Rhinolophus ferrumequinum: one gene and its partner. The protein of the gene in region 2 binds, or shares a complex with, the protein of the main gene of each other region. Links are inferred from orthologs where the notes say so. Each region holds a gene or a part of one and is shown on either strand. Other genes may lie near its edges.

Region 1 (7,899 bases), on a different chromosome or scaffold from region 2:
CAGAGAACTAAAGCCCTGGAGTGACCGCCAATGCCTTCCTTTAACCATCACGCGGGGCCTATTCTCCCTTCACAAGGTCTCCTTTCGCCTGTTACTTCCTGCTATCAGTCTACTCCAGACCTTGACACTGTGACCGTCATTTTTCCAGCCTCTACACTCTCTCCTTGTAATTTAGTCTGCAGGGCTACCTGGAAGATTTTAATTATGTCTACATAGACCACTCCTCTAGGAGCCTAGTCAGAGAACCGTTTAGAGAGCGTCACCTGTACCTCCCGTCAGCCATCTGGTTCCATGGTCATAACCATATCATCATCCAGGAACCCTCTACCTGTGAAACTTCATCGATGTGAGTCTTTTACCACAAACTTCTATTCTAGTTCTGGTAACTTTATTCCCACTGCCCACATGTGTTTCTGGACCTAAGACGGCTAGTCCCTTGACTTCTCTACTTTTCTCTAATGTACTGACATCTCCCATCCCAGGCTTCAAGTGCTTCCCTCCTCACCACAGACCACAATGGTGCCTATACCCGTTAGTGTCTAGTTCCACCTTACTATGGTTTCTGCCTCCTTTGCTGAAACTATGTCCTCGAACCCAGTGGATACATAGTCTTTATCTTATTTGACCTCTCAGCAGCATCCGAAAGACTTGACCACTTCAAGCTTCTGAAATAGTTAAGTCTTCTATATTTTCCATGCCACTATGACATCCTTCTATTAGAGCATTTATCCTATTATATTCTAATTACCTGCATACAAGAGTGTATCTTCAGCTTCAATTTAGGGTTAGACTAGAGCTCGTTTGATCAAACTTTGAATTCTAGTACCTAACGATTTTATAGTACATAAAGCACCAGTGACTTCATTTAACCAAATGAAATATTTTTCATGAATTAATGTCTAACTGAGAAAATGTGTAAGTTCCTAGCAAGCAGAATCCATGATTCATTCTTCAGTAAGCACTGCCGCTGTCATACCTGACCCCTGTTTGGAAGAGAATCTGAAGATCTAGATTACAGTTATTCTAACTAGAGTCATTGTACCATTTAGGGCACTTAGCACAAACCTTGGGTGGAGAATTGTTTCTTTAGTTAAATAGCACCAGTGAGTTTGGGAAATTTGACAGTGTAGCTGAAAGAGAGTAAGTATTTGTCGAGTGCCAAGTCAGTGATGCAAAAATCATTTATTACAGAAGCTCAAAGCAGGACAGTCACAGAATGCTACCATACTTTGGGAAGTTAAGAATGAGGGTGAGGGTGAGAGTATGGGACGTAGGACCAATACTGAACACTTTTCCTGGAAGATGAGTGGAACTTGAACGGACAAGTGAGAGCAGGGAAGGCACTTGTGGCAAAGAAAATACAAACGCTTGAGAAAAACCATGGCAATGTTCGGAAAATAATGGATTGATTAAAGTTTCTGCAAAATGCTACTTTCTCAAATAAAAAGAGAATGTGTGTGTGTTTCAGGGGTGGTATAGGCCTGACATGGTGCAGGTTGGCAACCAACAGCCGTTTCGTACCTAATGTGTGCCCACAGTTTCATACCTAATGTGTGCCAGCAGTTAGATGCTTTCTGTAGTAAGTTTTCACAAAGACTAAGTCTAAAGTAGCCCCTGAAGGAAGTAGACTTTAGGTTATTTGTCCCAAGGCACAAGGCATATATTTGATGGAATCTGCCTCAAATTGTGTCCTCTTTGTAATACACCTATTGTTTTCTATGGTAGAAGGACTATTACATGTTCAAGAGTAAGAAAGAGAAATGATGCATACAATTGGAGTGGATGCACAAAGGGGTCTAAAATTTGTGACTTAGATGGAGTGAAAATGAATTTGATGAGACCAGCAGAATCCAGAAAAAGGGATAAATTACCAGTAATTCCTCTTTAGTGCGTCTTGGATTTACAAATTACTTTTAACATAAAATATCTATTTCCCCAAATTTGGGACATGGGTAGGGAAAGGTTATTCTTTGATTTGAAGGTTAAGCAGTATCATAAACATAATACAATTGTTTGTATCCAAATGGAGAATCAGAGACAGCTCTGGGGGAACAGCATCTACGAATTAGGGAGAGGAAGGGACAGGGGTTCAGGCTTACACACTTAGTTAATCAGATTATTACTGAAATTCTAAATGGGTTCCTGCCAAATCGGTTTACTTGCTGAGAGGGATATCTCTTAACAGATGCTCCCTTTGCCAACTGGTTAGAAACTTCTTTGCAAACACCTAGAAAATAAAGACATTTAGTAGATAAGCGGGAAAAAACGTGGTCACTGGGGAGTCAAGGGTTTTTGCCTTACTTAGCATTGGAACTCACTTTTGGTAGACTGGGGCTGATCATACTTGACGTGAAATGCTACTGGGAAGATTAAAATGTAAATGGCTCGGTACACGATATTTACTTAATACAGAACTACTCTTCATATACATTATGTTGCACAAAGTGACAGCAATCAGGCAAGAAAGTTCAAGTTCTTTGGGAAGATGAGTCCCAACAGGACGGTCCAATGGAGAAACAGGTAAGAGATCAACGCGGATGTGAAGAAAGGGGAGTCAGATAAAGGAGAGGTGGGAGGTAGAAGAAAACGTCAATTTTCTCTGACCACTTACTCACCCAGCAGGGTCCCGATAACTCGGGCAGCACCCTCGTTGCGTCGCTCGTAGCTGTCCACGATAGAGGCCAAAATGACAGGGTGCAGTCGGACCACACGGCCGCCGGGGAAGGGGCCGGGTAGAGCAGGACTAGCCAGCGACTGCGCCGGGGTCTGCGCTGCTGCTGGCAGTGAAGCCTGGGTCTGGCCCGGGGCCGCGGTCGCAGCCGCTGCTGCCGCCGGGTCTGGGGATGAGGATGGAGCTGGAGTTGGAGCTGGAACCGGCACTGGAGCCGGCGCCGGCGCTGGAGCTGAGGCTGGGGCCGGGGCTGGGGCTGAGGCTGGGGCAGCAGCCATGGCTGGGGTCGGAGTGGTGGGAGCAGCACTCGCCGGTACCGCCGGTGTGGCCATCTTGTCCAGAGAGAAGGAGCCTGGAGCGGAAAAGAGTAAGCTTGGAAACATTAGGAGCACCATAGGCTGAATATGCACCACGTGAACAAGGTCTTTGTGCCTATTGGTTACTGATGATGCTTCTCACGGCACTACAATTTCCGGCTCCGAGTTTGTGCTCTTCGATCTAGGTCGACGCGCATTCAGTGAGACCGAGCTAAATAGTTCCGAAGAAACTTGGGACCGCACTGGGAGAAGAGAAGCAGCTCCGTCTGCATAGTTGTCGCCAGATGGAGCCAGAACGCTGCACAAGTGTCGCAAATCGTGTTTTCAGACTTCAATGGGATAATGGCTGTCACGGTGCCTTATTATAAAGGGCTTTGTCCTTGACAGGGTCCTAAGGTGGTTTATTCATTAAATAAAATATGTGCCAGAGGCTTTTTAAAGGAATATATTAGTAAACAAAACAAAAATCGTTGTCCTTGAAAAGTTTACATTGTAGCGGGGAGAGACAAATAAGTACATTATATATGTTAGAAGGTAGGAAGTTCTAAGAAAAAGGAAAAAGTAGCGGAGAGTAATGGGTAATGAGGAGTTGTGAGGAATTAGGGTGGATCACAATGACAGTGTGAGATTTGAGTGTACTTGAAAAAGGCGAATGAGGTGGCCATTATGAAGTGTGAGGGGAAAAGAGCTTCCAGGTAGAGGGAACAGCTAGTGCAAAGCCCTGAAGGCAGGAGTAGGCCTGTTGTGTTTGAAGAGGCTATTTGGCAGCTGGAGAGTTAAGATCGGCCTGGAGCAGCAGGAGATGGACCCCTAAACAGGGATTAGAGATCATTAAAGACCTCCTAGGGCACAGTATGGGTAAGGACTTTCATTTTTAGTTTGAAAGAAATGGGGAACCATTGCCAAGTTTTGAGCAGGGGAGGGTCATGATTTGTCTTAGTTTTAAAAGGATCACTATAGCTGCTTTGAGAAAAATACAATAGGGGGCTCGGTTACTGGGGAGAGGCAGACGAGAAAGAGCAGAGGGACATGGTATGAGATTACCAAATCTAAGAGAGATGACGGTGGTTGGCACCAAACCAGTAGCAGTGCAAGTGGTGAGAAGTGGGCAGATTACAGGTATATATATATTTTTTTTTTTTGTAAGGAGGGCGCAGCTCACAGTGGCCCATGTGGGGATTGAACCGGCAACCTTGGTGCTAGTACCAACACCGCTCCAACCAACTGAGCTAATCGGCCACCCCCTACAGGTATATTTTAAAGGTAGAGACAACAGGATTTTCTGAGAAATTGTATGCGAGGTGTGAAAGAGAAAGTCAAGGATGACTCCAATTTTTTGTGCTGAGCAACTAGTATGAAGAAGTTGTCAATAATCGAGACAGTGAAAGCTACAAGTGCAGCAAGTTTTTGGGAAAAGATCCCAAGTTCATTTTTTTCTTAAACTTTTGTTTTATTAGTTTCAGGTGCACAAAACAATGTAATAGACATTTATCATTTATATCCCTCACACAGTGTCAACCCCTATCGCCCCACCCACTACCCCTCTGACATCGTACACAGCCATTACATTTCCACTGTCTCTATTCCTAATGCGGTACTCCACTTCTTGTAACTATATATATGTATACACACACACACACACACACACACACACACACACACACACACACACACATATATAAAATTGTAGTTGACATTATTGTTCCGCTTCAGGTGTATAGTGCAGTGATCAGGCATCTATATCATCCCTGAGGTGTAACGAGACAAGTATCCATCAGATACCCTACAAAATCTTTACATTATTGATTACATTCCCCAAATTGACTTTCGTATCCCTGTGGCCATCTTGTGGTTACCGACTGTGCTCTCTAATCCCCTCACCTTCCGCTTTATCCCTACCTTCCCTCCCATCTAGCAACCCTCAGTTTTTCCTCTATGCCAAGTTCATTTTTGGATGTATCACCATTGAGATGTATTATTATTATTATTATTATTATTATTATTATTATTATTATTATTATTTGGTAGCTATTATTGTTGCTATGTGATGGAAGGAACTCTGATCCTAACTTACAGTGTAACTCTGGGCAATCTATAATTTTTTCTGAGTCTCCGTTTCCTGTTTGGTCTAACGGGGTTGATAATAGCTGCCTGTCAGGAAACCTATCAACTCCCTTAATTAGGTTAAGTCCCAGCGTCCAGCTGTCAAGGTGGATGGGGGATTTTGGGCTTCTTAGCCCCAACTCTTATGCCCAAGAACTGCTTTCTCCTTGGAGCTACCTTCTATAATTAAAATTCACGTAATCCTACTCCCGTCAGTGCTCTGGGTAAACATACATATTCTTAGTTCCCTCAAACACAGGTGAACAGCTTATCAGAGGAGGATTGAAAAATGACTCTTGGATTTGATGACCTCGATTTTTAGCAACCCTAGTAGAGCACTGTCAGTGAAACTGAAGGTGGGGTGCGCTTGGAAACTGGAATTCAGGTGTGAGAGAATGGTCAATTTGAATTGATGGCAGTAAGTGCTGGCTACTCTCTCAAGGAAGTTGCTGGGAAGGAAAAGAGACATTTAAGGCAGTAGCTGTGGAAAGGGGGACAGTTTAGGCTGGAAGAGTTTTAAGTATATTTTAAACGAAGAGTAAGAATCTCAAGAAGGGAGAAAGATTGAATATACAAGTGTGAGCAAGGGAAGCTATCTAATGAAACAAAGCAGGAAGTGGGACCCAAATGGAGAAGCCTAGATGAGAGAAATGGTCTTGGGCAGGACGAGGGATATGTTGGAGAGAGACTCCGGGATATGGCCTCCTTTATGGGTGCCATATGGGGGTCTGCCGTAGCCCAGGGTGGTGCCGAGATCATTCCATGGGGAGAAATTCAGAGGAGAGCACCATCCCCAATGAAGAGGTGTTGCTGTCTCGACCTGACCACGCACAACCTTGGTACTTCCCATTCGTATGTTGATTTGAGTTGGGTGTGGACTCTTCACCACCCTGAACTTTGCCTTTGTATCGATGGTCTAAAGACCTTTCTCTCTGGTAGGAAAGGAAAAAAACGATGGATGAAGAATCGGAGACACTTTGAATTGGAAAGAGAAGGGAGTTGCAGGAGCTCTTGTCAAATGATGTTTATTTTTTCTCAGGGAAGCGGAGGCAAAGTGATCTGCTGAGAATGGCAATGGATAGATAGATCGGGTTCAGCCTTGGAGCAAAGGGCAGTATTTGGAAGAAGGGCCGAGAGTGAGCCATCAAAGGCATTGAACAATTATGGGAGGGCCCAGCTGAGCCTGGAGACCTCAAGGATCTGGTCAGCTTTTGTATTTTCCTCCAGCCACATAGCTCAGGGGCAGAAGGAGGGTGATCATTGGCATTGTCTTCCTGGGGATGCTGATTGGCCAGGACAAGGGAATGCATACTCGTACATCCAGGATGCTGAGGGATCCAGGCAGGCAGAACCCTATTTATGGAGTGCATAAATGTGTGTGTGTGTTTGAGGTGTGTGTGTGTGTGTGTGTGTGTGTGTGTGTGTGTGAGAGAGAGAGAGAGAGAGAGAGAGAGAGAGAGAGAGAGAGAGAGACACAGAGAGAGAGACCCATACCCATCAGCTAGCTTCATCTGTCTGTCTGTTTCTCTCTCTGACTGTTTTGTCCGCTCATTTCTCTCTTGTGCCTCTTTGTATATCTTAGCTGACAGTTTCCATCCTTGGTCTCTGTTTCTTTTGTCTCCACCTCTTCCCTTTTTGGGACTGTTATACCAGTTGTCAGTTCTGCCCACAGCCAGACCAGGGTTAACAGGGAGGGAGGCTTCATTTCATTTCCTGCCTCTAGCCTCCAATTAAAATTGGTTATTTTGCATATCATTTCTACTTCCTTTAGGTGTGACTCTCAGTCCCTGGCCCTGCGATCTCCAGACTGGGAGGCTTCTAGGGGAGGCAGACCTGAGAGTCTTCACAGTAAGTGGCTTTACTCGTTTCTTCTGTCACATGGTCTATGTGGCTGTGTCTCACTCCATTTTCCCATCTTGGTCCCTTGGGCTTGGTTCTTTGCTGTCTTGCTTCTGTCTCTAGCCATAGTTTGGTTAAGGCTCTGGGACAGACCAATCCCATTCCTGCCTGTTTTCCTGGACTCTGGGAGAACCTGCTGAGCAACGGGCACTGGAGCCCTGGAGTGGGAGGAGAGGTACCTGGGAGACAGCCACCTCACAGCCTGCCTAAGCCAGTCCTCCACCCTTAAGGGATGCTCTTTCTCATCCTTTGTGCAGAATATAGGGACCGCCAGACACGATTGTCCCCATCTTCTGACCACAAACCCAATACATCGACCTTGCTCTGCCAAACAATGTCTCTCACTTTCCTCGGGCATGAATGGAGGATGTTCCCTCCATCCTCCTGCCAAAGGCTTTGAACTCTATCCCAATCCACACTCTCAATCGTCTCCTCTAGTACTTCTCTCTCCCACTAGCGTTTCTAACTTGACCTTTCTGTTGGATTTTTCATATTTTTGGTCAGCATTTGCCACCCTCTCCCATGTGAAAAACAAACAAAACCGTGACTTAATTCCTCATCACCTCAAAATCACCAATTCCTTTTGTTGCCAAACTTCTTGAAATATTTGTCTATACATGTGTTTTTTTTCTTTTTGCATCAATATGTGTTAACTCCATTTCTTTACCTTCTATCCTTTCATTGTTAATTTTTATTTTATCAAGTGACACATGCTCATAGTTTAAAAAGCCAATTAGCATTAAAAAGCTTATGCTCCAAATACAGTAGTTTTCTGGTCCACCCCCTTCCCCCACTATCCCCAAGTAGCTACCTTAGATTTTAAACTGTTTCTTCTTACATCTCTGCACTTTTAAATGCATGTATGCTGCTACCTTTTGATTCATCCATTGTAGGCATTATCTGTTGACT
Region 2 (8,224 bases):
TGGGAAGAAGCATAGGCTTTACCCCCACGCCATGAATATTAACAATTCTACATTTTTACCTAAATCCACTTCCGCCACTGCCAGCTTTTTGAATAGTCCAGGCAGCAAAATGCTATAATGTCTACTGAAAGATAGTAACTACTGGAGCAAATTACTGTAACAAAGACCTCAATTTTCTTTTCATTTCTTAGGATGCTACAAATGACATTAAATCTATATTCTTTAAAGTTAAACACTAGATACTGACATAAACTGAAGAACTTACTGTTCTACATATCTTTTGAAGAATTTTTAAAAATTCACATATTGCATTAAAGACTATGATTATTCGATCTCATGGAAACTAAGCATTGTGTGCATCTCTTTACCAAAGAATTAGGTACTAAAACATTAGAAATAAGAAATTCGGTATTACTACTGTCCAAGGTGACAAAAATTTAACTCTAGATTGGTAACCTCTGAGCAATCAAAAACTTGCTAGATAAACATGGCCATTCTATTCAGAACACAAACTTCACAGTAAACAGCTACCGTGGAGAGAACTTACTTACTCCTTCTGAGCTTAGGAAACCACAAAATATGGCACAAAATAAACCCCACATACTAAATCTAAACACCTAAGCATACTTTCCATTAGCCAGAAAAATTAAGACATCTTGAAGTAAAAGAGAATTAACATTTGAGTGGCTACCAAGTCCCAGGCAACTCTGCTTAATGCTCCACATAATAAAATGTAAATTATCCCTGAGATAGCTCCTATAATGATGGCATTTACAGACTGGGGAACTAGAACAGAAAGATTAGAAAACTTGTTTATGACCACAAATATAGAAAATGTCGAGCCAACAATATAAAGCCAAGTCTGTCTGATTCCAGAGCCCAAGAATCAAACTACTACATGGATACCATATCTTGGGAATTTTGGAGAAACTCAACAGAAATAAATCAAAATTTCAACTCAGAAATAAAATGAACAAGTTTAGCTTTCTTCTCCAAGATCAACTTCAAAGTTTATGTAAAAGCAGCTATTTGTATAAAAGAAATTGTGCCTGAAAGAGTGACTGGACAAGACGAACTTCATGGTCCCTTACAACTTGTAAATCACCAAAATTAGTTCCAAATGGTCAGAATTATTATCTATCAGGATTGACACAATTTAGGTTCAATAATCTCAGACAGTCTACTTTATAATATCAGTGCAGACAACTCCATTCAAACTTCATTTTCTGGCACTTCCCGCCCCCATCCATCCATTTCTCTAATCTTTTCTTTTCATTTGTTAACTTATTCCCAGTTTTCATAATGGATGTCTTAACTGCCGCATCCAGTATGCATAGAAAAAGCGAAAGGACAACTCTGAACTAAAGACTCAACACAAAATCCCCTACAATGTAGAGGTAACTAGTATCTTGCAATGACGCTGTTAACACAATCCATTCCCAAGTCTACACTACATCTGAATAGAAGTAGCTTCACAATAGTCCTACTCATTTATTAACCCAGTGTGTGCAAAGCTCCCATCATTCCTGAACCTCAGGCTGTTCGATAAATTGGACATTCACCTCAGCAGACACAGGAAAAAAGGGTAAAATCCAAACAAAAGCAGTATTATTAACAGTGATTATCTAGCTTAAACTTTTTCAAACCAAGCAGAAGGACTTGTAGGGTTCTGAGTATATGCTGAAAGGTAGAAGAAAGTAAAATATTCACTAAATGAATCAAAACCACAAAATACCATTTTCTAATTCATACAAAACTTTTATCTGTACAAAATGAAACGATTTTGAGAATTCTGTTAATAAGAGTCTTAACATTCTGAGCTTGAGACTTTTGAAACTATTAAAAAATGCAGCAGTCATAATCTCATCTGAAGCCATATGATCAGCCCCGCAGGAATTTTCAAAAACAATCTACAAGGCATAGAAAAACAAACAAAAAAAACCTGGTCCCCTCTCTACTCTTACCACCTTGCTATCTCCTTAGGCGTCATTCGTGTGTAAATTAATAAGTCACTCTGTCAACTCTGCATTTTTCAGGGTTGCTGTGTGGACTACCCAGGTTTCTGACCAATAACTTCTGGCTATTCAGTACTCAGTTCATCCTTTTACCAGTGTATCGGGAAGGAGGCTAAAAGTTATTTCACTTTACTGCTTCTATTTCTCGTGCGGAAAAAGGTTAAAATTAAGCCATAATATTTCACTCATCTACTTGTTCAAACTGTACAAACGGGCCTTCGGAGACATAAATGAATTTTCAGCCCTGGGGAGACCTCAGCTCAAAAAGGCCGGTGGGTTGTAAGATTTTTCCATATGGCAGCCATGGAGGCTCAATACCCAACTTCCCGGTCTCACCTCGGCGAGCAGTCCCCAGACTGCGAAGTTTGCACGTGGGCTGGCCCAGCCGCTGCTGTCACCTTCCCGTCGCCAGTTGGCGGGTGGGATCCAGGCCGGGGCGTCGACCTTTTTTAAAGAAACGCCGGGGCCACCGCTGCCGCCCTCGCCAAGGAAATCCGGAAGGCCACACTACCCGTCTCCGGCCCATATGGCCCGCGAGCGGAGGGGAAGCAGGACACCGCTGGGCTCGAAGCTCGTGCCTGGACTCACGGCCCGCAGGCCCGGGCGGCGCCCCTGGGCCCAGAGTCCACCCGCCCGCCTTTCGGCGACCAACCCCGCCCCAGACGGCGTCAGCCCGCTCCGGCGCTGCTCGGAACCCCAGCCTGCACCCACCTTGACGTCCTCGTCCTCGTCCTCGCCTTCCCAGCGGTCTCCGCCGGGGGTGCCCCCGCCGGCCCCCACCTTTCGCACCGGGTCTTCCACGGCGAACGTGTCCGCGTCTACGGAAGAGAGTGAGCCACGTTAGTGCCTGCCTCGGCGTGCGGCCAGCGCCGGCCCGGGCTCTTCCCCCGGAACTTCTCCTCACCCCAGGAGTCGGAGTCCCCCGCCGCTGCCGCTGCTGCTGCCGCCGCCATCTCGAGCCGGGTGTGAGCGTGTGTGAGCGGAGAGCCAGCGAGGACTTAGCGCGGCGGCGGTGAGTCACTGGATTTGCTCTCGTTGGCCGCGCGGGGCAGGCTGGGACCGTGGCTGACTCTACGCCGGAGCCCAGGCCCCGCCCCTCTGGCGGCGGCGCCGGCGGCGGCGGTGACGCGCGCGCGGGCGGGAATGGGGCGTGGGACGTGGCCTTTGGAGCCGGGGTCGCGTGGGAGGGCGTGGCCCAGCGTCCAGTGCCCGCGACGCCGGACAGTCCTGTAGACTACTGGGGCGGAGAGAGACGAAGCGGCCAGCAGATGGCCACGCCACTCTGAGCCCCGGTAAGGAAACGTAAGTGTGGGGAAGTTACGACGGTCCCTTGCCTAGGTGCTTGGCCCTGGCCTGTCCTCGCCACACCTCCTGCCTACCACTGCCACGCCCCAACCGATCCGTCACTTTGATCGCCGCCGGTGGCTGCTGACGGATGTCAAGGAGACTTCCAGCCTTTCCACGCCACGCTCGGAATCAGGCTCCGAAAGCCATGCGCGCCTGTAGGGGAGGTGGACGCGCCTCGCCGACTCCCGGAGGGTGCAGTCGTGCTCAGGGGGAGGGGACATCCCTCTGGAAGCTGGCGTTTGTGGTGCTCCCGAGACGGGCGAGTGGAGAAGGCGGCTTTCCTGGCAACCTTCCCAGGCTGGGTGCTCAGATTCAGCTCTCTGCACGTTTGCCTCGAGGTAGTCACGAAGGAATCGAAGAGAGCCCCAGTGCTCGAGGATTTTCCCTGTGAGCCTCTTCAGGCCAGTACATGATTCATTCTTTCGCAGAACAACTTCGGAACTCGGTTTGCGCTAGGCATAAACTCTAGTCTTGTCCCCATGGAATGCACCATCAAGCAGCCAAGGTAGACGTGTAAATAAACTTCGACACAGTGTGATGACTGCAACAAAAGGAAGCATTGTGAGGTTAAATGTAAAAATGTAACTTTAACGGCGGGGCGGGGGGAGGGGAGCGGGAGGATGCGTGAAAGGCTTCCCGAGGTAAACGCTGCGAAAACGAGTTTGAAAGACCAAGTGAAATTGCTCCAGAGCATTTCCCGCAAAGAACGGAAGTGGTCCCTGACCTGAGTGGCGAAATTGAAGATAAACTGAACAGGTAAACTGATTATAATAAAGGGCTGCAGATAGGTTAAGCTGCATTCTGCCATGTGGGTCAGTGGGCTACACTGCAAGGTTTTTGAGATGAATAGTTTGATATTTTTAGTTGTTTTCTTAATTTGTTTTCAAATATGTAATACACTTAACTTGGTACGACATTGTTTATAAAAGGGTTTATACAATGATCAGCCATTCTATTTCTACTGGTAACCATTTTCCCCATTTCTTCATCTCTTTCAGAGAGTCTACAAATACACATTTTTATAAAGATGGTCTTTTAAGAGACATTCTACAGCTCAGTTACTCAAAGTTTGTTCCCAATCCAGCAGCAACACCTGGGGAGCTTGTTAGAAATGCAGACTCTCAGGACCCATCCCAGACCTAATGAATCAGAATCTGCCTTCTAACAAGATCCTCAGATGATTCTGCATATTAAAGTGTGAGAGGCAGTGATACACAGACATCCATTTGTAAAGATGAATTGGAAGGAGGCAAGACAGAAGGCAGGGAAACCCTGAAACGTAAGAAATGTAAGGTCCCTAGAGCACAATCTTTTATTCAGTGTTATCTCCAGCATTTGACAGTGTCTAATATATAAATTAATATTTTTTTAATTAAATGAGAAGAACACAAGCCTCAAATCAGGCAATGGTAACAGAGAGGAAGGAACCAATTGAGAAATATTTAAGGGTCAAAATCAACAGAATTTAGTGACTGATGGTTAATTTTGTATCAACTTAGGTAGGCCATGGTACTGCTTTTGGTCACACATTAGTTTTTGCTGTATTATATATATTTGTCGTATGTTATTTTATATATATATATATATACATATATATATATATATTTTTTTTTTTTTAAGATTCTATTGGGGAAGGGGAACAGGACTTTATTGGGGAACAGTGTGTACTTCCAGGACTTTTTTCCAAGTCAAGTTGTTGTCCTTTCAGTCTTAGTTGTGGAGGGCGCAGCTCAGCTCCAGGTCCAGTTGCCTGTTAGTTACAGGGGGCGCAGCCCACCAACCCTTGCAGGAGTCCAACCGGCAACCTTGTGGTTGAGAGGATGCGCTCCAACCAAGCCATCCAGGAGCTCAGTGACAGCTCAGCTCAAGGTGCCATGTTCAATCTTAGTTGCAGGGGGCAGAGCCCACCATCCCTTGCGGGATTCAAGGAGTTGAACCGGCAACCTTGTGGTTGAGAGCCCACTGGCCCATGTGGGAATCAAACTGGCAGCCTTCGGAGTTAGGAGCACGGAGCTCCAACCGCATGAGCCACCGGGCCGGCCCCTGTCATATGTTATTAACATTTAAATCAGTAGATTTTGAAAGCAAAGCAGATTACCCTCCATTATGTGGATGGGTCTCATCCCATCAACCTTAAGAACACTGAGGAAAAAGGAATTCTGGCTGTAGACTGCCCTTGGGCTCTGCAACATCAGCTCTTCCCTGTGCCTGTCATCACAGTCACCCCCAGCATGCCGGCCTGCCCTGCAGAATTTTGGACTAGCCAGCTCCCACCATCTGGTGAGCCATTCCTTAAAATAAATCTCTAAATATACACACATCCCAATGATCCTGTTTCTCTGGATAACCCTGACTAAACAGTGACTGATTGGATATGGAATGGGTGGGGAAAAAGAGATTGGGTGGTAGTGACACCTATCTATAGGTGCTCTTATCAAAAACCTGGGAGTTAGGGCCGGTTCGGTGGCTCAAGCGGTTAGAGCTCTGTGCTCCTAACTCCGAAGGCTGCAGGTTCGATTCCCACATGGGCCAGTGGGCTCTCAACCACAAGGTTGCCAGTTCAGTTCCTCGAGTCCCGCAAGGGATGGTGGCCTCCACCCCCTGCAACTAAGATTGAACACGGCACCTTGAGCTGAGCTGCGCCTTGAGCTGAGCTGCGCCCTCCGCAATTAAAACTGAAAGGACAACAACTTGAAGCTGAATGGCACCCTCCACAACTAAGATTGAAAGGACAACTTGACTTGGAAAAAAAAAGTCCTGGCAGTACACACTGTTCCCCAATAAAGTCCTGTTCCCTTCCCCAATAAAAATCTTTACAAAAAAACCTGGGAGTTATCCTTGCTTTCTTCCTCTCGCTCACCTCCTAAATTCAATCCATCACCAAACCCTGTGATTTACTTTCAATATTAATCTTGAATCCTTTTAATTACCTCCATATTGGTACCACCTTAATCCAAGCTTTCTCTAGACTCTTCCACTATAATAACCTCCCAATTGGTTTTCTTCCACTCTTCCCCCTCCGCAGTCCATTCACTCACTACACACCAGGCAATTTGCTTATTTAACAATGTAAACCAAATTGTAACACCCCTTCCTCCCAGTTGAAATCCCTTTAGTGGCTTATCATTTTTACAGTAAAATTCAGCTGCTTACTGTGGCCTATAAAGCCCTGCATAGTCTAACTCCTACTTCCATCCAGCCCCCTTATGCCATTCTCTCTCATTAACTTCATTGCTACTGGCTCTCTAAGGCTACTAAGCTTTTTCCTATTTTTGGACTTTCTGCCTACAGTGCTCTTTCCACACCTCTTTGCATGATTGGCTTTTCTTCCTCCTTCAAATCAAAGTTCATATGTGATCTTTGCAGGAAGGTCTTCCCTGATCTCCCTCTTGCAAGGGACCTTTCCCAGTTACTCTATCTCATCCCTGTTTTGTCATAGCATTTATCACAGTCTCTAATGACTTTGACGACTTATTTAAGTCTGTTTGGAGCGCAGGCACCTACCTTGTCTGTTACTTAATACTGTAGTTCCAGTGCTTGGCATGTGGCAAATGCTCAATAAATGTTTTTGAAAATGGCTGTATAATGCCTGTCATCACAATCAGGAATAAAGTTTTGGCTCATAGATCTTGACATTCCTGAGGGACATGCCTAGTACACGTTTGGAACTGGAGAAGCCGAGGCTACAGATAATTAGGAGTACCTGATTATGGCAGTGGATGGAATCACGTGAAAGAGGCCGTCTGCAGATAGGATAGAATGAGAAGAAACCTTGAAGGACATCAACATTTAAGGAGCAACCAGAGGAGAAAAGTATAGAAAGAATAGTAAGATTTTAAAAAAGAAATTTGTACCACGTTTTTTTGGTAAAAAATACAAATAAATTTTAAAATACTGTGGAACATGGTATATTTGAAAATTCCCTGTTGGAAGTCAGGAGACCTGGGTTCTAGACATAAAAATGATCTAATTATATTGAACTGAACACTGGACACTTCTGGTGAGGGGTGGGGAAAGCTCACAATTCCTCCTTGTCTGGAAATTGTCCTAGAACACAAGTGTAGGTGGGCCCCCAAAGCCACATTTGCTCCTTTACCACTGCTGATTTGGGAAGGGGGGTCAGAGGCAGATTAACTGAAGTTAATGAAGCTCTAGCTTCAGGGCCTCTCATTGCATGGGCTCCTCCATTTTTAAAGAAAGCCCTCCAAATTGTGTAATATATGCATGCATCAAACAATATGAAATCTGGTTCTGCCCTTAGGTGGGGTATAAGTAACCCAGTGGAATCCTCAAATTCTCTGGTAGCTAGTCTCTAAAGATGGTCCTTCAATGAAGAGTTATTCAGGCCCTTATGTGGTCTCCTTCCCTTGAGTCCTGGACTAGCCCTATGATTCATTTTTGACCAGTAGAATAGGGCAGAAGTGACACCCAGTGTTACCTATCACGAGCCTTGCAGCTTCCACCTATGCTTTTTGGAATGCTCACTCTGGTGGAAGTCAGCTGCCATTTCTGAAGTCTTTACTAGCCTGTGACCATCATGTGCTGTTTCATGCTAACCACATGGAGAGGCTGTTTAGAAAAAGAAATACTCAGCCAACTCTGGCTGTTTCAGATATCCCTGCAGAGAGACTCCAGACATGGGAGTGAAGAAGCCATCTTGGACATCCAGCCTAGTTGAGCCTTCAGATGATTCCATCCCCAACTACCATTTCAACGTCACCAAGGAAGACCCCAAGCAAGAGTTGACCAGTCAAACCACAGATCTGTGAGAGATAAGATATCTTAAGCCTCTTAAGTTTTGAGGCAAATTGTTAATGCAATGATAATAGATTCTTTCCCAGGGCTTTAGAAGCTGGAACGAG

The links.
Region 1: EIF3J (region 2) and EIF3F share a complex: the UniProt entries of both Homo sapiens proteins name them as parts of the eukaryotic translation initiation factor 3 (eIF-3) complex. The link is inferred for Rhinolophus ferrumequinum from reciprocal best matches to the Homo sapiens genes EIF3J and EIF3F.

What each region holds. Positions count from the first base shown.
Region 1 is NC_046294.1:43,958,063-43,965,961, forward strand, and holds the start of EIF3F (eukaryotic translation initiation factor 3 subunit F), read right to left. Parts: upstream 3,024-7,899; 5' UTR 3,004-3,023; coding exon 2,616-3,003; intron 1-2,615. UniProt on the Homo sapiens protein: Component of the eukaryotic translation initiation factor 3 (eIF-3) complex, which is required for several steps in the initiation of protein synthesis.
Region 2 is NC_046289.1:61,567,988-61,576,211, forward strand, and holds the start of EIF3J (eukaryotic translation initiation factor 3 subunit J), read right to left. Parts: upstream 3,062-8,224; 5' UTR 2,969-3,061; coding exon 2,920-2,968; intron 2,834-2,919; coding exon 2,727-2,833; intron 1-2,726. UniProt on the Homo sapiens protein: Component of the eukaryotic translation initiation factor 3 (eIF-3) complex, which is required for several steps in the initiation of protein synthesis.